Linked DNA regions of Cricetulus griseus. The main gene of each other region encodes a partner of the protein of the gene in region 3 in a complex. Links are inferred from orthologs where the notes say so. Each region holds a gene or a part of one and is shown on either strand. Other genes may lie near its edges. The genes, in order: Prpf3, Lsm3, Lsm6, Usp39, Lsm5, Snrnp40 and Lsm8.

Region 1 (3,500 bases), on a different chromosome or scaffold from region 3:
TAAGATTCTAAGCACGCACCATCATACTCACTCTAAAGTGCTTTAGATACCTCGGTATCAATTGCTGGTCCTGAGACACAAAAAGATAAGTAGTGACTGCCTGGGGCTTGGGGCCACATTATAGGTTCAAGACTCTATATAGAAACTCCTTTCCCTTTGGTTTTTACAGCATAGGGTGATTAGAGAAATCAGATATGGTCCTTACCTGAAATTAGTCTGCAATTTAAAAGTGAGGAGTTGCAGTAAATCAGCCACAGATTATAAAACCTGAGTAACAGTTAGAACTGATTATAGAATTTCAGACTTGTGTTAACCTTAAGAGGTATGATTAGTTCACAAACAGATCACCACACTGAAGATTATGTTATGATAGTACTATGCCACTGTAAGTGCCAAGCTCACGCTCTGAATGCATTGACAACATTGGGTGGGATAGTAGAAATGGTTTCTTGAGGGAGAATCTAGATAGCATGGGATATGGGTCCCATTTTTGGTCCATTCAAGTCCCCACTCCACACAATATATTATGGGAGAGTCCTTTTTCTTGAACTGTAGGAGTTCCAGGAAGCGCTCGCCCCTGGCTGAGGATATGTCCTTGCAAAACACGAGCCCTCCTAGTGAAGAGGGGATGTCACCCAAAGCCTACCACCGGTGTGTACATTTGCTTTTTCCCATTGTCCCTCCAGTTGGCCACTCTTGGTCCTATTAAATTCATTTTGCAAATTAGTCAACATATTTGAGTTCCCATTGTATGATAAGAAGGAAATGTTATTGGGGAATACTAAAAAAGAAAAAGCCTCTTTTCTGAAAGAACTTAGATTTTAATTGGGAGAAAGTATTACCTAACACTTGGCAAACAGTGTCAGCAATATAATGTAATCTAATATGAACCAAGCTGTAAGTGCTTAAGAGGATGTGGAAGAACAGTTGATCAGAGTGGGATGAGATGATAATGAGCAAAACTTCCTGGAGGAGGTGAGTTTTAGACAGGATTTATGGGAAAGGATTTAGAGGAAGATCACTTCAATGTAGGCAGTAGCATTGGCAAAGATCTTGAGATGGGAACATTATAAAAACATGGGGATGAAATTTGCTTGAATGGGGTAGGAAATTGGTGAAGTTGGGTGAAATGGTCCACTTGGTGGAGAGTCTAGAAGACCCTTTGAAAGCTGTATGAAAGATTGTGTCATATTCCCCTGGGAAAACACAGGATACTTGTAGGGTCGGGATGGTTCTTCCCTTTTTCCCTAGGGAGGGATACGATTCTTCTTTCATCTTGGGTTCCCTTAGGAGGTGTTCGGTGATGACTCTGAAATCTCAAAGGAATCATCAGGGGTAAAGAAGCGGCGAATACCCCGTTTTGAGGAAGTAGAAGAGGAGCCAGAGGTGATCCCTGGGCCTCCATCAGAAAGCCCTGGCATGCTAACAAAGCTCCAGGTTAGTTAAAAGAAGCAAAGTGATGTTGTGAGTTGAAACAAAAAACATTGGTCCATGTTCACTGTGATCTTCATTTGAATTAGTGTTAACCATTTGGGGAAGTTTTTCCTGCTTTATATTCTAGCAGTCCTTGGTTTGATCAGAAATAGTCCAACTAAGGATTATTGAAATTGTATGTATTGAATACCTAGTGTGTACATCATTGTTTACCCAGTTGTCTACTTTATCATCAGGGAAATTAAATGAAATGATAGCACTAGACTTGACTATGTCCTAAGAGTCAAGGACTCTTTCTGAACTTCATTAGGAAACAACAAGGGGTTTATAGAAACAACTCTAAAGAGGCTGGCACCATTTCTCCATGGTTACCTACAGTAGAAATTGATCTGCTGATAGCATGATTATTTTTTGAGACAAGGCTTACTATTTAGCCTGGCTGGCCTGTGATTCCCTGTGTGTAGAACAGACTGGGCTCATACAGTGATCTGCCTGCCTCTGCCTCCCATGTACCGAGATAAAGGTGTGTACCAACGTTCCTGGCTGGTAAACATGTTTTTTTTAAAAATAATGCATATTTCATTTTATGTCTACATGCTTAAGTATGTGTATGTACACCATGTGCATGTAGGAACCTGTGGAAATTAGAAGTGTCAGATCCCCTAGAACTAGTTAGGAGATGGTCATGAGCCACTGAGTGGGTGCTAGGAACTGAACTCACGTCCTCTGCAAGAACAGTTGGTGTTTTAGCTCTTAACCATCTCTCCAACCCTGCCCCCACTTGTGTAGTAATTTGGTAGGAAGTGTGCATACATTACTTTCCCCCCTTTTAGATTCTTGGGAGGTTAAGATATTCATAACCTTATCCAATGTAATACAGGCAGGAAGTGGCACAGTTCGAAACTCACTACCTGAGTTTCAGTCACCATAATGGTGTATACTACCTAATATACCAGTCCAACCTTGGGGGGAAAGATTGAAAAATTGTAGTGCTTAATTTTTTTAAATTATTTCTTTAAAAGATTTATGTATTATATATACAGTATTCTGCCTGCATGTATGCCTGCAAGCCAGAAGAGGACACCAAATCTCATTATAGATGGTTGTGAGCCACCATGTAGTTGCTGGGAATTGAACTCAGGAGCTTCAGAAGAGCAGCCAGTGCTCTTTACTGCTGAGCCGTCGCTCCAGCTCACTTAATCTTATAGGCTTATCTTTGCTAAATTTTCTTTTTTTCCTCCCAAGACGGGGGTTTCTGTGTAACAGCTCTGGCTGTCCTGTAACTCGCTTGGTAGACCAGACTGGCCTCAGAGTCACCTGCCTCTGCCTCACATGTGCTAGGATTAAAGGCGTGAACCAGCATTGCCTTACTCTTTACTGAATTTTCTTCTCTAAGGTGCAGGGGTGTGTGTGGGGGGGGTGGGGGGTGAGTGGGTGTGTGTAACATTCACAAACTTTTAGGTCTCTAGAACTGAATGCATTTTCATTGGGAACATTTATGGGAGAAATTGATCTTTTCCAATTTTTCCCTCTGGAGAACAGATCAAACAGATGATGGAGGCAGCAACACGACAAATTGAGGAAAGGAAGAAACAACTGAGTTTCATTAGCCCCCCTACACCTCAGGTATTGTGTTCAGATTATTCTGAAAGAATATTTAGCACAAGATTTGTTGTCATTCGTTCACATGAGAATCCAGAAAGTGCCACAATTACCTACCATAGTCTATCAAGGTGTGTATATATTTGTATGCCTATTTCAAACCCTTGGATTTCTTTTAATCTTTATCTTATAGCCAAAGACACCTTCTTCTTCCCAACCAGAGCGACTTCCAATTGGCAACACTATTCAGCCCTCCCAGGCCGCTACTTTTATGAATGATGCTATTGAGAAGGCAAGGAAAGCAGCTGAACTACAAGCCCGAATTCAAGCCCAGCTGGCTTTGAAGCCAGGGCTTATTGGCAATGCCAACATGGTGGGCCTGGCTAATCTCCATGCCATGGGTATAGCTCCACCGTGAGTATCTTTCACAGAATCCCTTATCACTTCTGAAGTTTTAGGAGTAG
Region 2 (4,214 bases), on a different chromosome or scaffold from region 3:
CAGTTCTGGGGAATCCAACACCCTCATCTATTTAACATCTGCAGGCATGGCCCACACATTGTGCACAGACATGCATGCAAAAAACATATGCATAAAATAAAAAAATAGTAAAGTGTTTTTTCAGAGATGTAAACAAGAGAAAGAACAAAATAGGTTAAGAAGGGAAATGAGCTTTGTTTTTATGAAGCTTACATTGTACTCAAACAATCAGAAATGAAGATGACTGTAGAATGATAGGTGAATAGGAACATCACTGTGATTCTGTGGTGGAGGATACCTAGGAATGACTACTTTAAGATGACCGTGGAATGTCTTAGACCTCAAGTAGAGAAGAAATTAGACCCAGCAACAGCGACGGAGAACATTCTAAGGCAAAGAAACATGGAAGGCCAAGCCTCCAGATAAATAAACAGTATATTCAAAGAAGAGAAAGGCAGTCACCAAGAGCCATCTGTAATCCCTGTGATCATGAGGATGAGACAGGAAAAACCCAGAGCTCTAGGCCGGGCTGCTGTTTAAAATAAGAATATCTGGAAGAGAGACATGCTAAGTGAGGTAGATGCTATACACGGAGAGCACACATCTAAGAAGGTTTTAAGTAAGAAGACCAAGGCATATGAAGTTTTGTTGTCGTTCTACATCACTTGGCTGCTGGATGGAGATCTGATGTAGAGGGGAACTCACTCAACTAGAAAACGACAGGAACAGGATACCAGCTATGAAATTAAGAGAATTAGGCACATATTTCAGTGACTCCGAAGCTGAACTGGACCTCCTGACGAACTAGCAGTTAAGAAAAGGCGTGTTTTAACAGGTGGGTGAAGGAGTGATTTATTGAGATGGGAATATTTTAAGCTTCTCCTTGGTTCAAGACCAAGGTAAGAAGCGCATCGCAAACCTGGGGCCGGAATTACAGTGGATGCAACTTGGAGAGAGATTCTCACACTACAAGGTCTCCCTCTGTCCTAGTTTTGGTGTCTCTCTGACACCGGGCAACAGGGAAGCTTTTTCCTGATCGGCCCTCAACACTTGCCAAGAGGCTGGACTTGGTCCTAGGGGTTACGGTGGGGTCAGGGCTGATGGTAGAGGCCCTCGGGGCGCCGCGCATCCGGCCGTGGAGACCTTCCGCCCCGCTGCCCGCCCCAGCCTCCGCCACCATCGCCTTGCGCGCCGCAGCCTCTCACCCGCCTCGCTCTCCTCCGGCCGGGCTGCTTTGTTGTTCTCGGCTTCTCGGCCGCGCCCCCGCCGCCTTCCTCCCGCAGGGCGCTTCGGAGCCATGCTGCCCGGCAGCGACACTCCGGGCTACCGCAGCCAGCCGGCCGCAGACACTCTCCGCGTGCTCGCCCCGCCCCGAGGCGGGCCATGCCTGGGCCGCGCCCCCTGACCAGGTTGGGACCACGCCCTCCGGAGAAACCCCTCCCCCTGCAAACTACAGGGGCGCAAAGGGACAAAAATAAAGTAGGTCTACTTCCCGAGAGTGGAACCCTTTGCGTTTCTGAGTGCCTGTTCTCGCGAGAGGTGGAAAGGGCGCAGCGTTTGAAACATGGCGGACGACGTAGATCAGGTAAGTTTGTCCGGAGGCGCTCTTAGAGGAAGCGCTTGCGCTTCCAGGTCGGGTTCGCGTTTTCCACGCTCGCTGAGAAGCGGCCCGTCTCTCTTTGTCCCGAGGAACCACGGCCTTCCGTAGCCGCGCCGGCTCCTGAAACTTCCGCAGGCCTAGAGTTTTCTCAACCCGCCTATCTGCCCATCACGCTCGGCATCGGCTTTTATCTGTAAAATGCAAACGGCTGTCGACACCAGACAGAAAGCGTGAGGTAGTGGTGGACACCAGCTTTGTAATACGTGCAAGCGCCTGGTGCGCAGGCAGCGGCTCACTTGGAGTGCAGTAGGAGGGAGGGAGGGAGGTAGAGAACCTGGTGGAGATGTAGTCTGGAGAAAGCAAGCCAAGATCGGGTGCACACAGGATCACAGGCTGCCCTCTTCACCTGCTCTTCCCCCTATTCCTTAGCTACCTGTGGAGTTCCGAAATGATTGCACTCCCTCACACGCACACGCACCCACACACGGGTATTTAAAATAACAGAGCATGTTATTTTAAATATGTATTTCTTTATCTGAGACATTTCTTCCATAACTAGAACGTAAGTTACTTAATAGGGGCATTGGGGCGGGGGTGGCTGGAGAGGTTGCTTTAGGAGTTAAGAGCACTTGTTGCTTTTGTAGAAGACCATGGTTGGGATCCAGCACCCACATGTTGGCTTAACAGCACCCCAACGCATCTTAACTCCAGTTGCAGGAGGGGATCCTCTGCCCCCTTCTGGCCTCTGCTACCGAGCACTGTGTCAGCGTGTGGTGCACATGCATACAGGCAAACTGCTCACATACACGATAAAAGTAAACCTTTAAAATAAAGGGGGGTTTTCTGTGTTTGCTTTTCTTTCCTAGGTTTAGGACAGTGCTGTTAGCACTCAGCAGGTTATTAGTTGAGGGAACGAACCCAATGTTCAGGGGCAGCTTCTTTGAAAAGGCAGAATGTAAAGCTTACAGGGTGAAAAGGATTGACAGTGGCCATCCTAGACTGAAGAGGGCTGTCGTGGGAACAGATTTCATTGTTTTGCAGCTATGTATTTATATGCCCCTCTCCATACTAGAGTGAGCTCCATTGAGGGGATGCGGCTTCTGTATTGTTGTAATCCAGTGGTTGGTTGTCTGATTTCTTAACAAAAGCCTGCTGAGCTAAGGTGGGAGGAGGAAAGCACCAGTTGAGATCCGGGGTTGGGGGTGTTCTGGGAGGGTTGTTTGTTTCCTGTCATCAGCCTCATATCTACACAGCCTACAATTTTCAGCTTTCACTGACCCCAGGTACTCACTGGAGAAGCTTGCTGAATGGTCTTACTAATTCTTGATGGCTGGAACCACCTCTTTCATATAGCTGAATCCAGGTCATCCCAGTTCTAACCTTTGAAACCTGTTCCAACAGTTCTTGAAGAGTAATTCTGATTTATCATTCCTCTGAAATGACTGACCAAGAATGCATTCTTAAATCTTGAAGCAAGCAAGAGATTATATTAAATATAAGAAATTACAGGTGCTGGGAGTGGGGCTGGTAAGATAACAGGTAAAAATGCTTGCAGTTTGTAAGCGTGACAACCTGAGTTCAATTCCTGGGACACACAGAGGAAGGAGAGAACTTTATAAAGTTGTCTTCTGACAGCTACTTGAACCCCATCACACACACACACACACACACACACACACACACACACACACACACACACTCTTAAAAGTTCCAGACTCGGTTCATACCTGCCCAATCCCAGCATCTGAGAGGCAAAGACTTGCTGCTCATCAAAGGCTGTCATGGGCATGCCTCTTAAAAAAAAAAAAAAAGGTAATTATTTAGAAGTGTTTCCTTTTTACTTCAGATAGACCCTTTAGTCCTTATAAGATCTCTGAGGCAAAGATGTGGTCTCCCCAGTTTGCAAATGAGGAGTCTGAAACAAGAAATGGCATGATTTTTAATCCCAGTTCAGAAGAGCCAGGTCAGAACCCAGAATTGAACAAAGGCTTCCTAATGACTCAGTTCTTTTAACTTCTATACTATACTACTCGGTAGGTAGGTTCATCTTGCCAGCCAATTAGCACCCTAAACTTAACCTGCGCTGTACTGACTTCAAATTCTGTCAGATCTTTTTAGTAGTGTGTGAATAGGTATTGCAGGTATGTTTTTCAAATGATTGAATTATACAAAAGATAAAGCTAAGGTTCCTAAGTGGTACTCTAACACTTTGGATTTTTTGGAAGTTCAGTCATCATTTTGCTACTTAACTCCTCTCCACATAATGTTTTTCTCCTCTTTTACATAGCATCGAGGCACCGTTCTAAGCTTTCATATGTCATTTAAAATAATAGTATTGGGGAGACACTATTTTCTGCATTTGGCAAATTAGACTAAGGTATAAACGGGTTATGTGACTAGCCCTTGGTTTCACTGCTTAACAGTGATTGAAACACCACTCTGCCTCTGGTGGTCCATTACTAAGTGTGTTTCCTTCATCAGCAACAGACTACCAATACCGTAGAGGAGCCCCTGGATCTCATCAGGCTCAGTTTGGATGAGCGAATTTATGTGAAGATGAGAAACGACCGAGAGCTTCGAGGCAGATTACATGTAAGTCTTTTAAATTATCTCAAAACCAGATGTTTCCCTATCA
Region 3 (4,065 bases):
GGTTTCAAATAGCCCAGCTGATCTCAAACTCATTTTGTAGCCTCAAATGAGCTTGGATTTCTGATCCTCCTGAAGCCACACTTGGGTGTGCACTGCTGTGCCCACCACTGTGGTGCCAGAGATGTTAATGCACACCAGGCATGCCATCAACTGAGCCAAATCCTCAGCTTCCAGTTTGATTTACAAAGCAGCCTGTTTTAGGGACAGGGCATAGCACTTTTCTTCTCTGCAGACAGTTATTTGATTTAAATGTGACTTTACTTGTGTTCTTAATTTTATATTTTACATTTCAAGAGCCTAAAATGCTGTCTTATCAATGTCTGTAGTTGACGGTCTTCGAGTCAGCTGAGGTTTTACAGAGGATAGAAAGATATGGCTGTTCCTTACCAAATCTCAGCCAGTTCTCTGTCTGTGGCACCAGTCACTGGTCTGTTTCTTTCGCCATTCACTAAGAGGCTCTTAGGAAAGGAGGAACCACTTTCTGTCTCAGGAAAAAGTTCTGCATTGTAGGACCTGTAAGATCTAACAGGGTGTGTAGCTGTTGTTTGAAGGTCTTATAACTGTGTTGATGATTAAACATCAGAAACAATTAAAATATAAATCTTAAATACAATATAAAAGAGAAATTAAAATATAAATGTAAAATATAAATGAGAGCATGGGTGTAGAAAAAAAGGAATCAAGTCTTCCTGTAATCTCTTCCTTCCATAAACAGTCAGCATACACTAAGAATTCATGCATTATCCCCAACCAAGTTCCCCCACAGCACTTAAATGGTATCTGCATGCTGTTTCCAATTAAACTAATTTGTAATGTCTTTTTACAATTGGCGCCATTGTAATAGAGTTGCTTTAAATTATTTATATTTTTGTAGCAAAATTGCTATGGAAACAATCTCTAACAGTAACTTAAACTTCATACATTTAATTAATATTCAGAAGTCGGTTGGGAGCTTGAGGCTTTTAACTTTTATTTGCTTTAAATTATTTAAGGCTATTTGGGGTACTTAATAGCCTATTATTTTAATCGTAAGTTTCTGTTTCCTGTCATTTTTAAGGTATTCTTTACTGTATTGGAATCTCAAAAGATTACTTCTAAATTTTTTTTCTTGGTTGTTTTGCTTTTGATTCGATTTTCTGGCAAAAAAAAAAAAAAAAAGACGGCAACATCAGAACACCGGCATTTACTTCAGCCCCTGGATGCTGAATTCACCACTGAAGAAACCAATTCTTGGAAGTGAGCGTTATGGAACGGCCTGATCCTTTTGGTCCCCGCGGGCTGCCGTAGGCAAGGAGGCCGCTGATTGGGTGAGGCAGCGAAGCGCGCTGCCGGGGGCGGTTTCGGTTTTCGCCGCGCGCGTCCGCGGAGGCCCGGCCTGTGAGGGCTCCGGATCCGGCTGCGAGGTGAGCCCGCGCGCGGCCCGGGAGGGAGGGGCGGTGGGGCGGGTGGGTGCTTGGAGCGGAGCGGTCGGCCTAGGCCGCGGAGGGCCGGGGCGGGCGGGGTTGCGGCTGGAGCCCAGGCCGGCCTGCGAGCAGCGGAAGGCCGTCAGGGCCACGCGGCCTCGCGCTCCCGCGCCGTGCGGTCCTGCCGTGCGCGCGCCGGGCGCCGGCTGTGTCAGCCCGGGTTAGGCGGCCGCCGCTCCCGCGCCCCCCTCCTCCGTGCGCGCTCGAGTCCCTCCACACGAGGACACGAGGAGCCGGGGAAAGGATCCCTGCTGGGCGCTTCCGTCTGCCCACTCCTCTCCTCCTGTGTGTGCCTGCTTCTCTTTCCGCTAGTACTACCAGAAATACTCGGTCTTCTGTCTACGTTAAACACATGCAGCCAGGTGTAACTTTAACATTCATTGCTTTTGTTTTGTCATTGCCTGGGTCCCATAAGTGACTCCGGTGTTTCCCCGATGGCTTCATCTTAGCGTCCATGCGATCCTGGGATGCACTTCCCGCCCTTGACTCTATTTCTCACCATCTCCTTGGACAAGTTCTCAGAGGAGAAGTCATTGGGTTAGATAGTTCTTGCACGTTGCCGGGTTGGTTCTCTTTAAAGTGTTAGTAAATTACCTCGTTCGTGTGTGACACCGGTTCTTTCACCAAATCCGTGAACACGCCTCCTGTGTTTCTAACAGTAGCAGAGTACAGCCTCTCTTTGGAATCGTTACTGATCTCGTTTAAACTTGCACGGAGTTTCTCAGTCTGGCCTTGAACTTTGGATCTTCCAGCAGTTGTGGTTCCGGGGTTACTTCAGGCATTGTTATTTTTTATTGTAATGCCTGTCGTTCTGCCATCAAGGTTTTCCTGCCGAATCTTCGTAGGAGGGGCAGGGAGAGAGAGAGAGCTGGTATTAACTGTGTGTGTTGGTATTACTGCACAACTTAACCACGTGCTTACTGGTATTCTCTCTCTCTCTCTCTCTCTCCCTCCCTCCCTCCCTCCTCCCTCCCTTCCTGTCTCTCCCCTCCTCCTCCCCCGTGTGTGTGTGTGTGTGTGTGTTGTGTGTGTGTGTGTGTGTTGTGTGTGTGTGTGTGTGTGTGTGTGTGTGTGTGTGTGTGTGTGTGCGGTGTGTGTTGGTATTAACTGTGTGTGTGTTGGTATTACTGCACAAGTTAACCAGATGCTGGAACAGAAAGACATAGTCAGTAACCATCTAGCATAACTCCCTTATTTTTCAGATGAGCCTGGGGCCATGAGAGGTGAGATGGGTAGCAGAGGAGATTAGAATACAGGTTACCTGCCTCCCAAGTGAGTACCCTTAACTACTGCATCAGGTCTTCTCTCACTGAAGGGTGGCCTAATAGAATTTTTTTTATTTGATTTTTTTTTTAATTCCCTGGCTTGCTTTCTCCTTTTATAATGAAGGACTGGAAAATAGAAAAGTCACTTTTTTTGTGTGTCCAGAACTAGAAATTTATTAGAATGCCAACCCATTCAAGATTTTAATGGTTGTTTTCAGGTTCTCAGTGTTGGGATAAAATACTCCTGATAAGTAAGACAGTTGTCCCTCAGTATCTGAGAGGGACTGGGTACAGAGCTCCCAATATTAAAAAGTGCATGGATATTCAAAGTTCCATATGTGTGTTTGCATATAACCTATGCAGTCTTCCTATGTTGTTCACATCATCTCTAGATCACTCACAATGTGTAATAGGATGTAAATGGTTGCAATGGAATATTGCTTAGGGAGTAATGACAAGGGAAAAGCCCTTTAGCTCTGTAACAGGTAAAACCATTGGAGCTGTAATTGCAACTTCATGTTACTAGATGTTGGCTGGATACACAGATAAGGAGAGGTGACTAGTTTATGTACTCATCATCTGGTTCTCATTTACATCTTGATTATTCTAAAGTACCTTGCTTGTTGTTTAAACCAGAAAATAAGGTTTGAAGAGGAGGGGAGGAGGTGGTAGTGGCAGTCATTCTGTGAGTTGACACGTTGCATCATATAGTCCTTTGTTGTAAAGGACTAGACTCTACACCAGTGGTTCGCAGCCTGTGGGCCGAGTCCATGAAAGACCCTTTCATGGAGATCACATAGCAGATATTTACATATGATTCATAACAGTAGCAAAATTACATTTATGAAGTAGCAATGAAAATAATTTTATGGTTGGGGTCACCACACATGAGGAATTATATTAAAGGGTTGCAGCATTAGGAGGGTTGAGAACCACTGCTCTACACTGTAGACTGTTGAGGGATGTCCTTGGCTTCTCTTCACTAGAGTCTGATTCCCGCTTTGACAATACATAATGTCTGTAGACATTTCCAAATGTTCCTAGAGGGTGGGGCACAAAAATCACCTTTGGTTGAGAACAACTTGCTCTTAGGAATTACCGTAGGCAACTTGATGTCAAAGTGCTTATGGTCAAGCCTGGCAACCCGAACTCAATTGCTGAACCCCACTTAGTGTAAAGAGAGAACAGACTCCCAAAAGTTATCCTGTGGCATATGCTTATTGCCCCTGCCCCACTAAATAAAACAAATGAATAAAAGCAATAAAAACAAAAAGCAAAGGACAGCCTTTTGGCTGAGTTAGCTACAGCAATCTGTGTCTGAACAGGCATCTTTGTAG
Region 4 (3,500 bases), on a different chromosome or scaffold from region 3:
AACTCTTGATCCTCCTGCTTCCACCTTCCAAGTGCTAAGTTTATTGCTGAGAACTGCCACACCCACTTCTACTCGATGTTTTGACTGAATTTTAAAAAAAGATTTATTTATTTTATGAGTATGAATGTTTTGCCTGCTTTTTGCTATGTGTACCATGTGGGTGCCTAGTTCCCTCAGAGGTGAAAGATGGCATTGGAGCCTCTGGAACGGTTGCAAGCCACCATGTGGGTGCCTGTTGCTGGGTCCTAATGGCTTCCTGTGGGAGGGGGTGAGAAGGCGAGGAGTCAACTGTACAGACACTAGGAGTCAGTTGAGAGGAAAAACAACAGACTTGTTTATTTAGCAATGGGAGAACCTTATATACCCTCCGAGCACCTGGATTCTGATCCGTTGACATCATGTGGTCATCTCTCATTGGCTAGGGACCTCCGACAGCACCAGGTGAGCTCCAGGTTAGCTTATCTCTTGGCCTGGTAGGCCTTAACTTTCTACAGGTGCCTGGTTCCCTCAGAGGTCAAAGATCAAAAGATGGCGTTTGAGCCTCTGGAATGGTTTTGAGCCACCATGTGGGTGCTGAGAACGAAACCTGAGTTCTCTGCGTAAGAGCAACAAGCGTTCTAAGCTTCTGAGTCATCTCTCCAGGTCTCTCTCTTTTTAAAATGATTCTGTCTTTAAGCTGTGTAAGTCATTCATTTCAAATGTACATTTTCCCCTTTCATGACCCAGCCCAATGGTGAAAGAGTGTCCTGTAGAGGAGATAAAATGTAATTACTTAGAGAAATAATTATGTAGGTTCCATGATGACATATGTTACCAAGCGAAGCTTCTGTGCTTAGGCAGAGCTTGAGTCTTACACTGTTAGGGTGTTGTGGTTTATACCAGAAATTTACAGGTTGGGAATATGTTCTGACATGCTTTCTGGCCTCAAAGACTTTGTACTTTGCTTTTTTTTTGTTTGCACAGCTATTGTGACTGATGTTTTCCAGGGGTCAATGAGAATATTCACCAAAAAGCTTCCTCATCCTGATCTGGTGAGTGTCCAGGACAGAATTTTAGCCTGATACATGTTTCCTGAGGGGCTTGGGGAAGCAGGAACTTAGAGAACAGACAGAATGAACCCCACAAAGGAGTTCACAAAGCACCTACTGAGGGCTGGTTCTGTGCCCATAGTGGTCATGGACTGTGAGCTTCAGCCTTTGTAGTTGGTAGTCTGTTGGTTGAAACAGGTTGACCGATGAGTGGTACTGGTGTGTTTTTCGAAGGCTCAGCTGAGCTTCTTGTGTAATTGGAGAACTTTTTAAATAGTATGGTGTATAAATAAACTCCTTCCAAAGAGGAAAGCAATTCGTTTTTTCTTTAAAAGTTGGCCTATAAAGTAACGGGTTTGAGAGTGGTGTTTCCAAACACATGTGTCATTACACTTCTTTTTCTTTCTTTTTTTTTTTTAAGATATAATTTATTTAACTTTATGTGAATTGATGTAAAGGTATCAGATTTCCTGGAACAGGAGTTACAGACAGTTGAGCTGCCATGTAGATGCTGGGAATTAAGCCCAGGTTCTCTTGAAGAGCAGCCAGTGTCCATAACTACTGAGCCATCTTTCCAGCCCCAATCACCCTCTTTTATTGCCCTCTGCTGTTCTCAGTGCCCTCTTCCTGGCAGGTTTCTTTTCCACAAATAGTTCCTCCTTTTGCTTCATGTCCTATGTATTCCATTACCCTCTTTCCCCTCCTGAAGGTCTCCTCCTTTGTAGTTGCATGACCACAGGCATGTGCACACATGCCATTTTTTTAATTAATACTGTCAGGCAGTGGTTCTGAATACAGCTGCCTGGGCTCTGGACTAGGGAAGATGTGTGCGAGCATTGTGTCTTCTGTGGGTTTGCTTCATTCTGTTCACAATCCTCTCCTCTTTTGTCTTCTCATTTATTTCTAGCCAGCGGAAGAGAAAGAGCAGCTGCTCCATAATGATGAGTACCAAGAGACAATGGTGGAGTCCACGTTCATGTACCTGACACTGGACCTTCCCACTGCCCCACTCTACAAGGATGAGAAGGAGCAGCTCATTATCCCCCAGGTGCCGCTCTTCAACATCCTGGCCAAGTTCAACGGCATCACCGAGAAGGTAGCCAAATTACCATCCTTGCCCTTTTCTCTTGGTTTGTATTTTAACTTTCTCATCACCAGCATCCTACCTTCTTTTCAGTGTTGACAACAGGGCCTCGGAAGTGGAAGGCAAGTGCTCTACAGACTAGTTACTCCTCAGTTTCTTTGTCTTTTTACATTTCAGAATCACCACATAAATATCATATACTTAATCTAATCTTTTTTCAATTCTCCCAGCCTCTCTGGTGTTTTAACTCTTAACTTTAGAGCCCCTTCTTACATGGCTCCTGCCTGCCTCTGAGTAATGTATAGAAAGGTAGGAAATTTAGATGTTTGGAAACTCAAGATATACAGAAATCTCATCTTAAAAAAAAATATTTTGTTTTGTTTTTTTTGAGATAAGGTCTCATTTAGCCAAGTTAGCTTAGAACTTGCTGTGTGGTCAGAACCAGCCTTGAGTTCTTTTTTTTTTTTTTAAGATTTTATTTATTTATTATGTGTACAACATTCTGCTTCCATGTATATCTGCACACCAGAAGAGGGTACCAGATCTCATAACGGATGGTTGTGAGCCACCATGTGGTTGCTGGGAATTGAACTCAGGACCTCTGGAAGAGCAGTCGGTGCTCTTAACCTCTGAGCCATTTCTCCAGCCCCAGCCTTGAGCTCTTGATTGTCCTTCCTCCATCCAAGGGCTGGCTTACAAGTATGGGCCACCACTTCCAGCTCCAACAATTACTTTTAATTTGTCTAGTTTGCTCTTTTTGTTTGTTTGTTTTTGTTTTGTCTTTTAAATAATATGGGCACTTACCCTTAATTCAGTCTCAGTAGCAATTTGTTGGGGCAGTATCATGATGATGCTGGACTCTTTTTTTTTTTTTTTTTTTTTGGAGACAGGGTTTCTTTTTTTTTAAATTACATACTTCTTTTTTTTTTTTTTAATTTTATTTATTACCTATACAGTCTTCTGCCTGCATGCCAGCAGAGGGCACCAGATCTCATTCAAGGTGGTTGTGAGCCACCATGTGGTTGCGGGGAATTGAACTCAGGACCTCTGGAAGAACAGTCAGTGCTCTTAACCACAGAGCCATCTCTCCAGCCCAGAAACAGGGTTTCTTTATGTAGCCTTGGTTCTAGCAATGTGATCATATACTGAAGCAACCCATTATATCTTACTCAGTGTTTGCCACATTGCTGATCTTAGCCTCTTTGGTGATTTCTGGGACTAGGTGTCTTCTGATCTCTAGGTGTGATGCAGAGCTATGTTTAAAAACCAGAACAAAGCTCAGGCCCCTGTTGAATGCTGGCACTGATGTCACCAAACTCTTTCCAGGAATACAAGACTTACAAGGAGAACTTCCTGAAGCGCTTCCAGCTCACCAAGCTGCCTCCATA
Region 5 (4,300 bases), on a different chromosome or scaffold from region 3:
TTTAACTTCTTTAAGCACAAGGAACTTAATCAGGATTCTTGTTTCAAAGGATGGCAGTAAAGAGTGTATTTGTGCAGTTGGGAGGCAGAGGTTGGTGGATCTTCGTGAGTTCAAGGCCAGTCTGGTCTACAAAGTGAGTTCCAGGACAGCCAGGGCTGTTACATAGAGAAACCCTGTCTTGAAAAACCAAAATAAAAGAATGTATTTGTAATTGCCCCGACACCTAGTAGGTACACGAGATTTATGGAATGGGGTTTGTGGGGAAAAGCCACCACTGGCTTGAAATTGAGAATGGAGTGGAGTTTCCAAGGATCCCTAGAGGCATTGCTTTATCTATTAAACTTCATAGTGCTATATACATACAATTTATTTGTCCTTCTTCTCACTCACTCTTGTAGAAGACTTTTCTGTACATTGCTTTATATACCCAGCGAGCTGCTAATTAAACGGTGTATGAGGGGTGCTTACCAAACACTGTAAAAATGAATGGTGTTGATTATGATCTCTCCTATTCAGATTGTTTAAGTCCCTCAGACACAAATGAGACAACCGAAGCTAAAGAATTTGCCTGCTGCTTTTTTTTCTTTTTAAGTAGGGACAACCCAGGTCTCATGAAGTCATGAATGCTAGGAAAGCACTCTAGTGCTAAGCAAGGTGGTTAAGCTCTCATTAGTTTTTATTTCCTATTTCGTGTCAGGGTCTTACTAAGTTGTCCATGCTTGGCAACTGTGGCCTCCTTCTGTTTCTTAAGCGCTGGGATTGCTGGCCACTCCTCACAGCAGCTTTTTATCTTTTTCCAAAACACAAGTGTGATAGCATGTTTTCCAAATGTGATGACACCAACATACGGAGTGACATCTAGCAGTTACCTGTAAATCAATAAGTGTTAGTAACTGCAAAAGCCTGCAATAAACTAGACTTCTAAAAGGACAAGAAGAAGCCGGGCATTGGTGGTGCACGCCTTTAATCCCAACATTGGGGAGGCAGAGGCAGGCGGATCTCTGTGAGTTCGAAGCCAGTCTGGTCTCCAGAGCGAGTTCCAGGACAGTCCCCAAAACAATACAGAGAAACCCTGCCTCGAAAAACCAGAATAAAATAAAGTAGCAAAAATTAAAAAAAACCTTTGAATACTCGGTATAGAATATTTTTAAAAGATGCTTCGTAAGGGTTTTCAGTACTCTAGGCTTAAAAGTACAGGATTCCTTAAGAAAATGAGTAGTAGTTGAGACAAACGCAGAACGAGTTGGTGATAGCAAATCCTCATTGATTTTATGGCTCTGAAGAAAGATCCAACCTTTTAGAGGAAAACTAGCCGACTCAGAGATCTCGTATGTTGTAGTCTTCAGGCAGATATAGAGGAGACAAACTGTCAAGTTAGCAAAACTTCGGGGGCACGGGATGGTGGCACCGATATAGTGCGGAACTATTCTATCGAGTCTGTCGGTGATCCATTTGGATACCCCGCGATCGCCAGATCTGCCTCCGATTAGTTCCGTCTGAGCCAGTTGTGGGAAAGGGCGGAAGCGCGCTCTTTTAAAGTCTGCGCCCGTAGCCCTATGCCACTTCCGGCGTGGCCATGGCGGCTAACGCGACCACCAACCCGTCTCAGCTCCTGCCGCTAGGTAAAAGTCTCGCCCGGGGCGCGGGCGGGTTGCTGCGGCCCCACGCCCGCGCCGGAGGCTTGCCCCTGGGGCCGCTGCGGAGACCGAGCCCGTTGTCTGTCGGCGGCCGGCGGGGGCCCCACTTGGTGAAGGACGCCCTCGGCCTTGCTTGTGAGCTCGCCGGTTAAGATGTCCCGGTGCCGGCCCAGCTCGCAGTGTGGCCTTTCCGGTCTACACCTTAGGGAGCCCCTGTATTGCATTTGGCGGTGTGAGGAGGGCGCCACGGTCTACAGTGACTCCTAGAAAGAAATCTGGAGACTAGCTCCGTCATTCGTTCGTTCATTCATTCATTCATCCATCCATCAAGCAGTTCCCTCCCCGTGCCAGGGTACTGTTGAATAACGAATTTAAACTACGGCCATTGCTTTCAGATAGCACACTGAAAGACTTCGTGCCGAGCAGTTCTCGGTTGGCCACGGAGATGCTCAGGTTGGTCTCCAAGCACAGAGCTAAAGGCAAGATGAGAGAAGTGACAGGAAGCTGGTGTCGGTCGTGAGGCCTCTCCTCTGTCATGTTTTGGCGCCGGTGAAGTTAGTCAATGTGGCAATGATGGAAAGTTCTTGCAGGGTCCACTCCAGGGTATGTTCATCGGCAGAAACACTGATGAGGAAAAACTAACATGGTTTCCACCTTGTGGTGTAATTGTTTTTCATACATTAACCAAATAGTCAAAATCACAGTCCCGTTAGTTGCAGCAAAAAAGGAGGTAAGCGAAGGCCAAGACAAACATTTGTGCTAATGGCTGAGCGGAGATTTGTGTAAGATGTAGTTATTTAGTGACTGCTTTTTGTTTCTCTTTAATGATACGGAAATAGTAAAGTGAGCACTCGAATGCTTGTTGAACTAATAAGTGGGTAAAACAATCTTTTTCTTTCCACAGAGCTCGTGGACAAGTGTATAGGATCAAGAATTCACATTGTGATGAAGAGTGATAAAGAAATTGTTGGTACACTTCTAGGATTTGATGACTTTGTCAGTATCCTTTTAAAAAGTGTTCATGGAACAGGTTTTTAAAGATGTATTAATATAAGAGCTGTAGACAGATGACATATTTCTGTTTATTACATTAAAAATTATTTATTTTCCAGGAACTTGGTAACATTTTAAGAGGTGTGCTTGCAGAAAGCAGATAGGGTTCTCTCCAACAACAAACCTTTTGAATTTGCACCATTGTGTTGAACATTTTTGCAACCAAACAAAAACATAAACCAGAATAAATTCAACCTTGTTTATTTTCTTAACAACAAATTTCAGATATGGTGTTGGAAGATGTCACAGAGTTGTGAGTAGTATTAAAAATGACAAATAAATGGGGGAGGAGAGGAGGAAATATCTTTTTGAATTAAAGGCAGGTACCCTAGTTCCTTTTCTGTTACTGTGAAGAGACAGCATGGCCAAGGCAGTTTATAAAAGAGAGCGTTTACTGCGTGGGCTTGCTTACAGTTTCAGAGGGTTAGAGTCCACGTTTTTTCATGGTGAGGTGTGTGGAGGCAGGCAGGCAGGCAGGCAGGTGTGGGGCTGGAGCAATAGCTAAGTGATTCTATGTTGAGATAACCATGAGACAAACAGAGAGCCAACTGGTTATAATTTATTCTTTTGAAACCTCAAAGCCCACCGCCACAGTGACACACCTCAGACAAGGCCACTCCTCCTAGCCATTCCCAAACAGTTCTGTCAACGTGAGCCCGTGGAGGCCATTTTCATTTAAACTACAATAGCAGGATTAGTATGATGGATAAAGTATTACCTGTTGGAATTCTTTTAATGCTGACTTATTTACCGGTATTTGTGAGGTTGGGCCAGAAGATTATTATCTTAATGTCATTATTCCTGAATTTCTAAGAAATTAGTGTAAACACGCTTTATAGTGACTTTACATTTACTTCTATATTATATCTTTGTAATATATCTTTATATTTACTTCTGTATTTATGAAGTTTTATATTTACATAACTATTATCTGGTGGGCAGACTGTATTGCTGAAAATTATTGTAATTGTATGAGTTCACATTCATTCATATGTAAGAATAACAGTTTTGATGCTAGGGATTGAACCTAGGGCCTTGTGCTCTGCCACCCAGGTGGTGCTCTGCCACCGAGCTAACCTCTTTACCCCAGGAATAATTTTTAGAGAGGAAAAGCGTTTCCAAAATAATTGCCTTTGAATACTTGTTTATCCTGACTCCATTTTTTATCTATTTAGTGAAATTACACCAGAAGGAAGAAGGATTACAAAATTAGATCAGATTTTACTAAATGGAAATAATATAACGATGGTAAGACATTAAAGCTGTTTTATTTTGAATTTAATTACTTTTATAGGGCAGGGATTACAGAACACTGCTGCTTAGCTCAGTGTTCACGGTCTAGACATGCTGAGGATGGGAAGGGAGCCTTCAGTGATCAGTGCCCCAACGCAGCTATTGAAAGAGCATTGGGCCTTAAGATTCATTTGCTTATTAATCTTTATTACCTTTAGTTCATCAGGAACCATTGTTGAAACTCTTAAGCATCAATTAATGTTGGGATTACTAGCAGATGTTGATGATCTGGGAAATGGGAATTGAAGGATAGGGGAGAGACAGTGGTGGCTTTGGTCCATGAGGAGCACATGGGGAGTTTTAGGTGGTATGATAGT
Region 6 (3,500 bases), on a different chromosome or scaffold from region 3:
TGGGTGGCAAGTTCTCACACTTGCAATCTTCCCATCTTAACCTTCTGAATGCTGGCATTGTAGGCTTGTATTTAAGGGGATTCAAAGTGGGTATTTTAAAAAGTGTGTGTGGGCTGGGCATTGATGGCGCATGCCTTTAATCCCAGCACTCAGGAGGCAGAGGCAGGCGGATCTCTGTGAATTCGAGGCCAGCCTGGTCTCCAGAGCGAGTGCCAGGATAGGCTCCAAAGCTACACAGAGAAACCCTGTCTTGAAAAAACAAACAAACAAATAATAATAAATAAAAAATAAAAGGGTTCTGTGTGTGTGTGTGTGTGTGTGTGTGTGTGTGTGTGTGTGTGTGTGTGTGTCCTTTAGGAGGCAGAAGAGGGTTCTGATCCCTTGGAGCTAAGTTAACATGTAGTTGCTAGCCACCCAGTGTGGGTACTGGAAACTGACCAAGGATGCTATGCATCAGATACTCTGGAACACTGAGCTACCTCTCCAGCCCTAGTATTCAAATTTTTACATCAGTACATTCACGTAACTCCTTTCTGAATAAAAGAAAGTGCTATGCTTTAGGGGATATCATATATTTTATTCATTTAGAAAAATTACATGGCAGTATTAAATGAATTTCTTTTATAATAGCAATCACCTTCAGAAAATTGCTAATCTTTTTCCTTGTGACATCCAGGCTATTTCTGTTCATTTTAATGTTTATTTTTACATATTTGCTTAATCGCCTATTATGTAAATATATTTATATTTTGGCTTTAGAGTTATTTTAGGAACTGCTAAATAATATTTAGAGCCTGCCATGTACCAGGCATATGCAAAGCATTCTTACTTGTAATCTTTCACAATGAGAGAGCACTTGCCTATTGTGCTTGAGGCTCTATGCTCAATCTCCACCACCACAAAAAATACAAAAGACAGACAGAAGACATGCATATACTGTTGGGGCTGGAGATGGAATCAGTGGTAGAGCACAAAGCCCTGGACTTGAACCCCAGTGATGAACAAACAGGGAAGGGCAGAACTCCTAGATACTCTTGTGACTGTCTTCCAGAAGAGGCTCAAAGGACTCTTTGCCTAAACATGCTTTCCATTTTCTTTCTTCTAAAAATATATATATGCATATACATACATATGTATTGTTTCTATATACATGTTATAAGATGAAAAATCTTAGTTGTTTTCAGTTTCATGTTTACTTTATATAATTTTGGGCATTACTTTCAGTAAGTCAGTTATCTGATTTTGTCCCTGGTTGACCTGGAGCTTGCAGCAGTCCTGCCTCTGTCTCTAGTGATGATCTTTAGTTTTGTTTTTGAGACTTCTGACCTCAAATATACTATATAGCTAAGGGTATCTTTGAACTTCTGACCCTCTGCCTTTCCTCCCAAGTGCTGGAATTCAGGGGTGCACTTGGCATCCCCCCCCCAAAAAAACAGGGTTTCTCTGTGTAGTCCAGGCTGTCCTGAAACTCACTCTGTAGACCAGGCTGGTCTCTAACTCATAGAGATCCACCTGAGTGCTGGGATTAAAAGTATGCGCAGCCACCACCTGGCTTTTTTTTTTTTTTTTTTTTTTTTTTTTTTGAGATGGCCTTATAGCCAAGTTAGTCTGGAACTCTGTTCAAGCTGGCCTCAAATTCAAACTCTTTCTTCATCTGCCTCCTGAGTGCTGGGTTTAGACATATACCACTAAGCCTGGCATCTGGTATATATAGTTGTGTTTCTCTTTTTTAGATTTTTACACTTTATTTGATGTATATGAACGTATGTGCACCACATGTGTGCCGGGTGCCAGAGTTGGTGAGAAGAGGGCGCTGGACCCCCTGCACCTAGGGTCACAGATAGCTGTGAATCACCATGTGATGCTGGAAGCCAAACCCAGATCCTGTGGCAGTACAGCAATACTCTTAACCTCTGAGTCCTTTCCCCAGACTCAAGTTTGTTTGATTTATTTGTTGCTGTTGTTGTTCTTATTGCTGGGGTTTTTTTGTTTTTGTTTTTTGGTTTTTGGTTTTTTTTTTTATATATATATAAAGATTTTATTTATTTATTATGTATGCAGTCTTCTGCCTGCATGCCAGCAGAGGGCACCAGATCTCATTCAAGGTGGTTGTGAGCCACCATGTGGTTGCTGGGAATTGAACTCAGGACCTCTGGAAGAACAGTCAGTGCGCTTAACCTCTGAGCCATCTCTCCAGCCCCTTGTTTTTGTTTTTGTTTTTTGTTTTTTTGTTTTTTCAAGACAAGGTTTCTCTGTGCCTTTGGAGGATGTCCTGGAACTAGCTCTTGTAGACCAGGCTGGTCTCAAACTCACAGAGATCCACCTGCTTCTGCCTCCCGAGTGCTGGGATTAAAGGCGTGTGCCACCAACGCCCGGCTACTGTTATTTTTAATGTAAGGTCTCTCTATGTGACCCTGTTTGTAATGGAACTGTCTCTGTAGGCCAGCCTGGCCTTGAACTCAGAGATCTGCCTGCTTCTGCTTCTAGAATCCTGAGCCATCGTGTCTCTACTTCTCTTTTCTTTCTTTTTTAAGATAGTGTCTATGCAGTCCTGGCTGTCCTGGAGCTCACTTATGTAGACAAGCTGGCCTCAAAGTCACAGAGATCCTCCTGCCTCTGAGTGCTGAACTTAAAGGTGTGCACCACCACACCTGGCCTTTCTCTGCTGTTTTTCAATTTGAATATTGAGTGCAGTTTTGTGTTTTTATAGGTTTGGGACCTGCGTCAAAACAAGTTAACCTATACCATGAGAGGCCATGCAGATTCTGTCACCGGCCTGAGTTTAAGTTCTGAGGGATCTTATCTCTTGTCCAATGCAATGGACAATACAGGTAACTTTGGAGAACAAAGCTGTTCTTGGGCTAGTGTCTGTTGACCCTAAAAGGGAGGAGGAGTTGGTATTAAATGAAATGCATTGGGGAAGCAGTGATTGGACTCAGCTAGTTAAACTATCTACATTCAGACTAGATTACTTGAATTTGATCCTGGGACTCGAAGGCAGCTGGGCAGTGATGTTGCACACTTTCAATCTCAGCACTTGGGAGACAGACACAGGCGGATCTCTGGGTTCAAGGCCAGCCTGGTCTATAGAGTGAGTTCCTGGACAGGCAGGGCTGTTATACAGAGAAACCCTGTCTCAAAAAGAAAGGGGGAGGGGCTGGAGAGATGGCTCAGAGGTTAAGAGCACCGATTGTTCTTCCAGAGGTCCTGAGTTCAATTCCCAGCAACCACATGGTGGCTCACAACCATCCGTTATGAGATCTGGTGCCCTCTTCTGGTGTGCAGATATACATGGAAGCAGAATGTTGTATACATAATAAATAAAATCTTTTAAAAAAAAAGAAAGAAAGAAAGGGGGGATTAAAAAGAGCCTTAGCAATTAGTATTGTGTTGTATTGGTCCTCCTCATGAAGGAGACAGTATTTGTTACTGACATGGAAGCTGCTGGCTCATAGTTGTGTTTGTTGCTTGACTGGTTTGGATTTGCTTTGTAGTGCGAG
Region 7 (3,996 bases), on a different chromosome or scaffold from region 3:
AATATAGTAGACATATGTAGAACCAAAATAATCAAGAACTTAACTTGAAGGAAATACTCAGGAAAAATTTTGTGGCTATAGCAAAATGTAATATAATGAATGCTGTTTAAGTTTCTGAAGAAATAGCTTCTTTTAGATTTGGCTGGTTAATCTCTTGGGTACACCTTTAAACCCCCCTGTTCTGAAAAACCATAATTGTATAGAATCTGAATGAAATAAATAGAAACTTGGAATGTAGAAATTGGGAAGAAAAACAAATTAGACTATTTATTATAGCACTTGGCAAATGGTAGTTATCATAAACCCCTATAAAGGTGCTCTCATCTTCATTATATATGCAATTATTTTATCAGGTACGATAAAGACAGAACTACTGAGTGTCAATACAAAGTTTCTGTTTAGCTTTTCTTCTATAAGCATTTTCTAACAGAAATATAAGAAATTTAAACCTGAGGATTTCAAAAATCAGTTATTTGTAAATTATCTGATAAATGCAACAGACTTCTTTCAATGTTTAAACAAACATATTCCTAATTTCACATTCCAAATTGCCTACTGTTGACAAATTTAGAGTGTAAACTCACCACCACTAAACAAAAAACCTTAAGACACCTGTTTCCTTTATGGGTTTTGGAATAAAACTCAATTTATAACACACTTGTTATACTGAATCTCTGTGAAAGTAACTTGGTTTTTTTTTTTTTTTTTTTTTTTTCTAAGCCTGGTTCCTAATCTACAATATAAGTGATAATTCTTCTTGAGATTCCTTGCAGACTAAATAACACAAAATTCCTAGCATATGATAAGCACTGCAATTACTATGGCAGTCTATCACTTTGACTGGTGTTGCTCACTAAAGAGCAAGAAGAATCAAAGGGATTCAGAAGAAGATAAGGAGGCTGAAGAAATGGTTAAAAGTATATACTATTCCTCCAAAGGACCTAGTGTGGCTCACAATGGCCTGTAACTCCAGCTCCAGTGGATCTGACAACTCTTCTGGGCTCCTTGTGTAGTGTACCACCACACATGGCAGACACTAACAAACAGACATACACTCAAACCTAACTAAAAATAAATCTTTAAGAAAACAAAATCACGAATGGGAAAACATGGGATTAAATTACAGCCGTGAAAGAAATATTGCAGAGACAGTAGATGAGGCAATGGTCCCAAAGATCATACCCCAGTGAAGTCACAGCTAACTTAGTTTCTGAAACCACTCTCACAATATTTGAAGAACAATGAAATCACTGAATACACATTTCTCAGATTGGATCTCCCCATTGTTAAGCAACTTACAAGAGCATATGCATAATTTGTAAATCCTTAAAGAGCTCTAAATGAAAACAAACAAAAGGAATTGAGGTTAAAAAAAAAAAAAAGAATGCAAGAAGAAAATTAGTCGGCACAGCTCTGCATTCCAGATCAGAAGACTTCAAGGTTTATTAGGGAAGCTGTATTGACAGCCAAGAGATAAAAGTCTGTCAAAACAGCTGGATCTCCAGCATACATGCGGGCAGAACACTGTGTACTTTAAATTTAAACATTCTTAAAAAAATAAAACAGCTGGATCATAAGAACACTAGAATCGAGGTTATACCGTGGTACCTCAGCATTAGATTAGAAACGTAACTTCAAATTTACAATCAATAAGCCTACAAAGAAGCAGACTGAAAATGCCACTCACCACAATCATTCTCCCATCAGAAGTGATAACGGCGACGGTTCCTGAGAACTGCGTCAAGGAAAGTATTTCTTAGAGATTGCAGAGTGAAAACTTTCAGCCTGGTAAGGAAATGGTCTCAATTACTTAAAAAAGAAAAAAGTGGCGGTATGAAGGTTCGACACAGCCGCTGCTCACGAGGTACAAAACTGAAGGTTTGAAACTTGTTTCAATTCTATCCTGAAAACAGTAAATCTAATGGGAGAAGGGTAGAGTCTGACATCTGACCCTGGGTTTAAAACAGCAATGGGTTCCAATCCCTAACACTGAGAGATACAATCCCTTCCTTTCTCAGACCAATGTCTTCACCTCTGAAATAAAAACTGGACGCGTAACTATCAATGTTGCACCGTTGTGGCGCGTTAAGCCCCCTCCCCTAGTCCAAGACCTGGTCATAATTAATGCCACCAAGTACAAACAACCCTGGATTCCTTAAAAGCTCTCTGCTTTGAACGCCTGAGTTTCTTGTCTGTACCAGATGTGCTCGGTGCACGGTTTCTGTCCTGACTTTGCAGCAGCGCTTGTAATTTAAAATCTCACCTGGGATCTTAAGAGCTCCTTGCCTGTCACTGAAGCCCAACACGATTCCAGGCTTTCCTTCTAAGGGTATCGCATGGACACTTCCAGGGGGGGCCCGAAATTCACCTTGGAGAACCAAGCACCTTTCTATGCATGCGAGCCTCGAGCCAACCGCAAGCCCTGAGAAAACCGGTCCAACTTATTCCCGACGCTGGCCCGCACAAGCCCTAAGGGATCTGCAGCAATCCAGCCAAAGGCTCCTTGCAGGGAAGCTGTGCCGGGTGAAAAGGGCCCGGGTCTGTCCGGATGACCCCACCGCCGGTCCCGAACCCCGAGTCCTCCCCGCCGCCCCGGGTCTCCGCCCCCGCCCCGCCCCGCCGCGGCCTGGGCAGCCGCCCGAGGATACGGTTGATGTAGTTCTCCAAGGCAGACGTCATGCTGCTGGGCCCGGAGGTCCCGGGAACAGGAGACAACCCGGCAACAAGGAGACGAGACACGGCCGGGCCGCCAGAAGCACGTACCGGTTCCCGCCGCCCGCCCGCCCGCCGGTGAGCACAGATACCGCGAGACCAACGAGTACCTAGCAGCCAATCGGCACTCGCAAGGAGCCGACCAAACCGGAAGCCGGGCGGGGACTGACTCGCGCGCGTGCGCAGCGTGCATCCGCCGCGCTTCCGGGTGCCGGTCGGTAGAGGGAGACGGACAAAGGCGGGGACGGGCGGAAGTGTGGGCTGGATGCAGGCGCTGGGAGGCTCGCCAGCGGAGGGGCGGGAGCCGCGGTCGTGTGGGAAGATCGGCTGTGCCGGAGACGCCCTAGATGAGATGTTTGCTCGTCCTTGGGAGGAAGGGAGCTCTAGCCTTCTCCAGCGCGAGCCAAAAAAAAGTTCCGAAAGACAAATGGCGCGGTGCAAAGCGAACGTCTTTGTAGCCCGCACGAGGTGCATTTCCAGGGAGAGCCCAGCTATCAAAAGTGCTCGTGCATTCTGCTTTTGGCTCTTCAGGTGTCACGAAGCAGCCTTAAGGAAACGAACTCCAGAGAGGGAAAGGTGTGCGCGATAGATGGTCACTTTGCACGGCTAAATCGAGGCTTAGCTTTTCTTGGGGATGAAAGTTGTAATTAAGAAAGTCTACATTGCCACTCTGAAGGGACCGATTAGAGGAAAGCGTAAACTAAGCACCAGGCTGGGTTCTAATTCTATCCCTGATAATTGATGTCCCTGTTGTAAAGTCACTTAAACTCCTCTTGATCTGATTTCACTTAGATGCTGTACAAATGTGTTAGTCAGTCAACCGTACATAACCAATATTTTAAAATTTTAGTGTGTGTTGAAAGGGGAAAATTAATAAAATCTAAAACCCAGACTCCAAAGCCCAAAAAGAAAACTCAGTTCCCAAAAAGCAGTCCAGCAGACAAGGTTAAACAAAGGGCCTCAGGACTCAAGCCCTTAGACCAGATATCACACCCTAGAATGGCACTCACATTCCTCTGGTCCAAAGAGGATCAGATAGTTATCAATTGTAGAAGTCCCCAGCCCAGGAGACTATTAACAAACCCATTTCCTCTGCAGTATCCTGCTTAATTAAACCTTGCATGAAGCATAACAATCTTTGTCCTGTCCTGTGTAACTACTGAAGTTATGTAATCTTGGGGCTTCCAGCCCTACAATTTTCCCTTTTAAAAACACCCCTCAGTCGAAAGTGGGTACTCCTTTGTTCCCAAACGAATGGGGTCCTTGCTGCAGCTGGTGTCCTTG

What was found.
Region 1: Lsm6 (region 3) and Prpf3 share a complex: the UniProt entries of both Homo sapiens proteins name them as parts of the precatalytic spliceosome. The link is inferred for Cricetulus griseus from reciprocal best matches to the Homo sapiens genes LSM6 and PRPF3.
Region 2: Lsm6 (region 3) and Lsm3 share a complex: the UniProt entries of both Homo sapiens proteins name them as parts of the precatalytic spliceosome. The link is inferred for Cricetulus griseus from reciprocal best matches to the Homo sapiens genes LSM6 and LSM3.
Region 4: Lsm6 (region 3) and Usp39 share a complex: the UniProt entries of both Homo sapiens proteins name them as parts of the U4/U6-U5 tri-snRNP complex. The link is inferred for Cricetulus griseus from reciprocal best matches to the Homo sapiens genes LSM6 and USP39.
Region 5: Lsm6 (region 3) and Lsm5 share a complex: the UniProt entries of both Homo sapiens proteins name them as parts of the precatalytic spliceosome. The link is inferred for Cricetulus griseus from reciprocal best matches to the Homo sapiens genes LSM6 and LSM5.
Region 6: Lsm6 (region 3) and Snrnp40 share a complex: the UniProt entries of both Homo sapiens proteins name them as parts of the U4/U6-U5 tri-snRNP complex. The link is inferred for Cricetulus griseus from reciprocal best matches to the Homo sapiens genes LSM6 and SNRNP40.
Region 7: Lsm6 (region 3) and Lsm8 share a complex: the UniProt entries of both Homo sapiens proteins name them as parts of the precatalytic spliceosome. The link is inferred for Cricetulus griseus from reciprocal best matches to the Homo sapiens genes LSM6 and LSM8.

The regions. Positions count from the first base shown.
Region 1 is NW_023276806.1:60,657,867-60,661,366, forward strand, and holds part of Prpf3 (U4/U6 small nuclear ribonucleoprotein Prp3), read left to right. Parts: intron 1-555; exon of another isoform or gene 556-651; intron 652-1,290; coding exon 1,291-1,437; intron 1,438-2,976; coding exon 2,977-3,060; intron 3,061-3,229; coding exon 3,230-3,450; intron 3,451-3,500. UniProt on the Homo sapiens protein: Plays a role in pre-mRNA splicing as component of the U4/U6-U5 tri-snRNP complex that is involved in spliceosome assembly, and as component of the precatalytic spliceosome (spliceosome B complex).
Region 2 is NC_048601.1:52,288,973-52,293,186, reverse strand, and holds the start of Lsm3 (U6 snRNA-associated Sm-like protein LSm3), read left to right. Parts: upstream 1-1,414; 5' UTR 1,415-1,543; coding exon 1,544-1,564; intron 1,565-4,060; coding exon 4,061-4,171; intron 4,172-4,214. Other genes in the region: Xpc (DNA repair protein complementing XP-C cells), read right to left, coding at 1,185-1,278. UniProt on the Homo sapiens protein: Plays a role in pre-mRNA splicing as component of the U4/U6-U5 tri-snRNP complex that is involved in spliceosome assembly, and as component of the precatalytic spliceosome (spliceosome B complex).
Region 3 is NC_048596.1:154,693,812-154,697,876, reverse strand, and holds the start of Lsm6 (U6 snRNA-associated Sm-like protein LSm6), read left to right. Parts: upstream 1-1,265; 5' UTR 1,266-1,403; intron 1,404-1,806; exon of another isoform or gene 1,807-1,825; intron 1,826-2,665; exon of another isoform or gene 2,666-2,735; intron 2,736-4,065. UniProt on the Homo sapiens protein: Plays a role in pre-mRNA splicing as component of the U4/U6-U5 tri-snRNP complex that is involved in spliceosome assembly, and as component of the precatalytic spliceosome (spliceosome B complex).
Region 4 is NC_048601.1:64,058,663-64,062,162, reverse strand, and holds part of Usp39 (U4/U6.U5 tri-snRNP-associated protein 2), read left to right. Parts: intron 1-963; coding exon 964-1,031; intron 1,032-1,935; coding exon 1,936-2,124; intron 2,125-3,438; coding exon 3,439-3,500.
Region 5 is NC_048601.1:84,604,289-84,608,588, forward strand, and holds the start of Lsm5 (U6 snRNA-associated Sm-like protein LSm5), read left to right. Parts: upstream 1-1,500; 5' UTR 1,501-1,576; coding exon 1,577-1,622; intron 1,623-2,541; coding exon 2,542-2,637; intron 2,638-2,915; coding exon 2,916-2,943; intron 2,944-3,865; coding exon 3,866-3,938; intron 3,939-4,300. UniProt on the Homo sapiens protein: Plays a role in pre-mRNA splicing as component of the U4/U6-U5 tri-snRNP complex that is involved in spliceosome assembly, and as component of the precatalytic spliceosome (spliceosome B complex).
Region 6 is NC_048595.1:22,668,699-22,672,198, reverse strand, and holds part of Snrnp40 (U5 small nuclear ribonucleoprotein 40 kDa protein), read left to right. Parts: intron 1-2,710; coding exon 2,711-2,831; intron 2,832-3,494; coding exon 3,495-3,500. UniProt on the Homo sapiens protein: Required for pre-mRNA splicing as component of the activated spliceosome. Component of the U5 small nuclear ribonucleoprotein (snRNP) complex and the U4/U6-U5 tri-snRNP complex, building blocks of the spliceosome.
Region 7 is NW_023276806.1:207,804,434-207,808,429, forward strand, and holds the start of Lsm8 (LSM8 homolog, U6 small nuclear RNA associated), read right to left. Parts: upstream 2,801-3,996; 5' UTR 2,680-2,800; coding exon 2,649-2,679; intron 1,729-2,648; coding exon 1,688-1,728; intron 1-1,687. UniProt on the Homo sapiens protein: Plays a role in pre-mRNA splicing as component of the U4/U6-U5 tri-snRNP complex that is involved in spliceosome assembly, and as component of the precatalytic spliceosome (spliceosome B complex).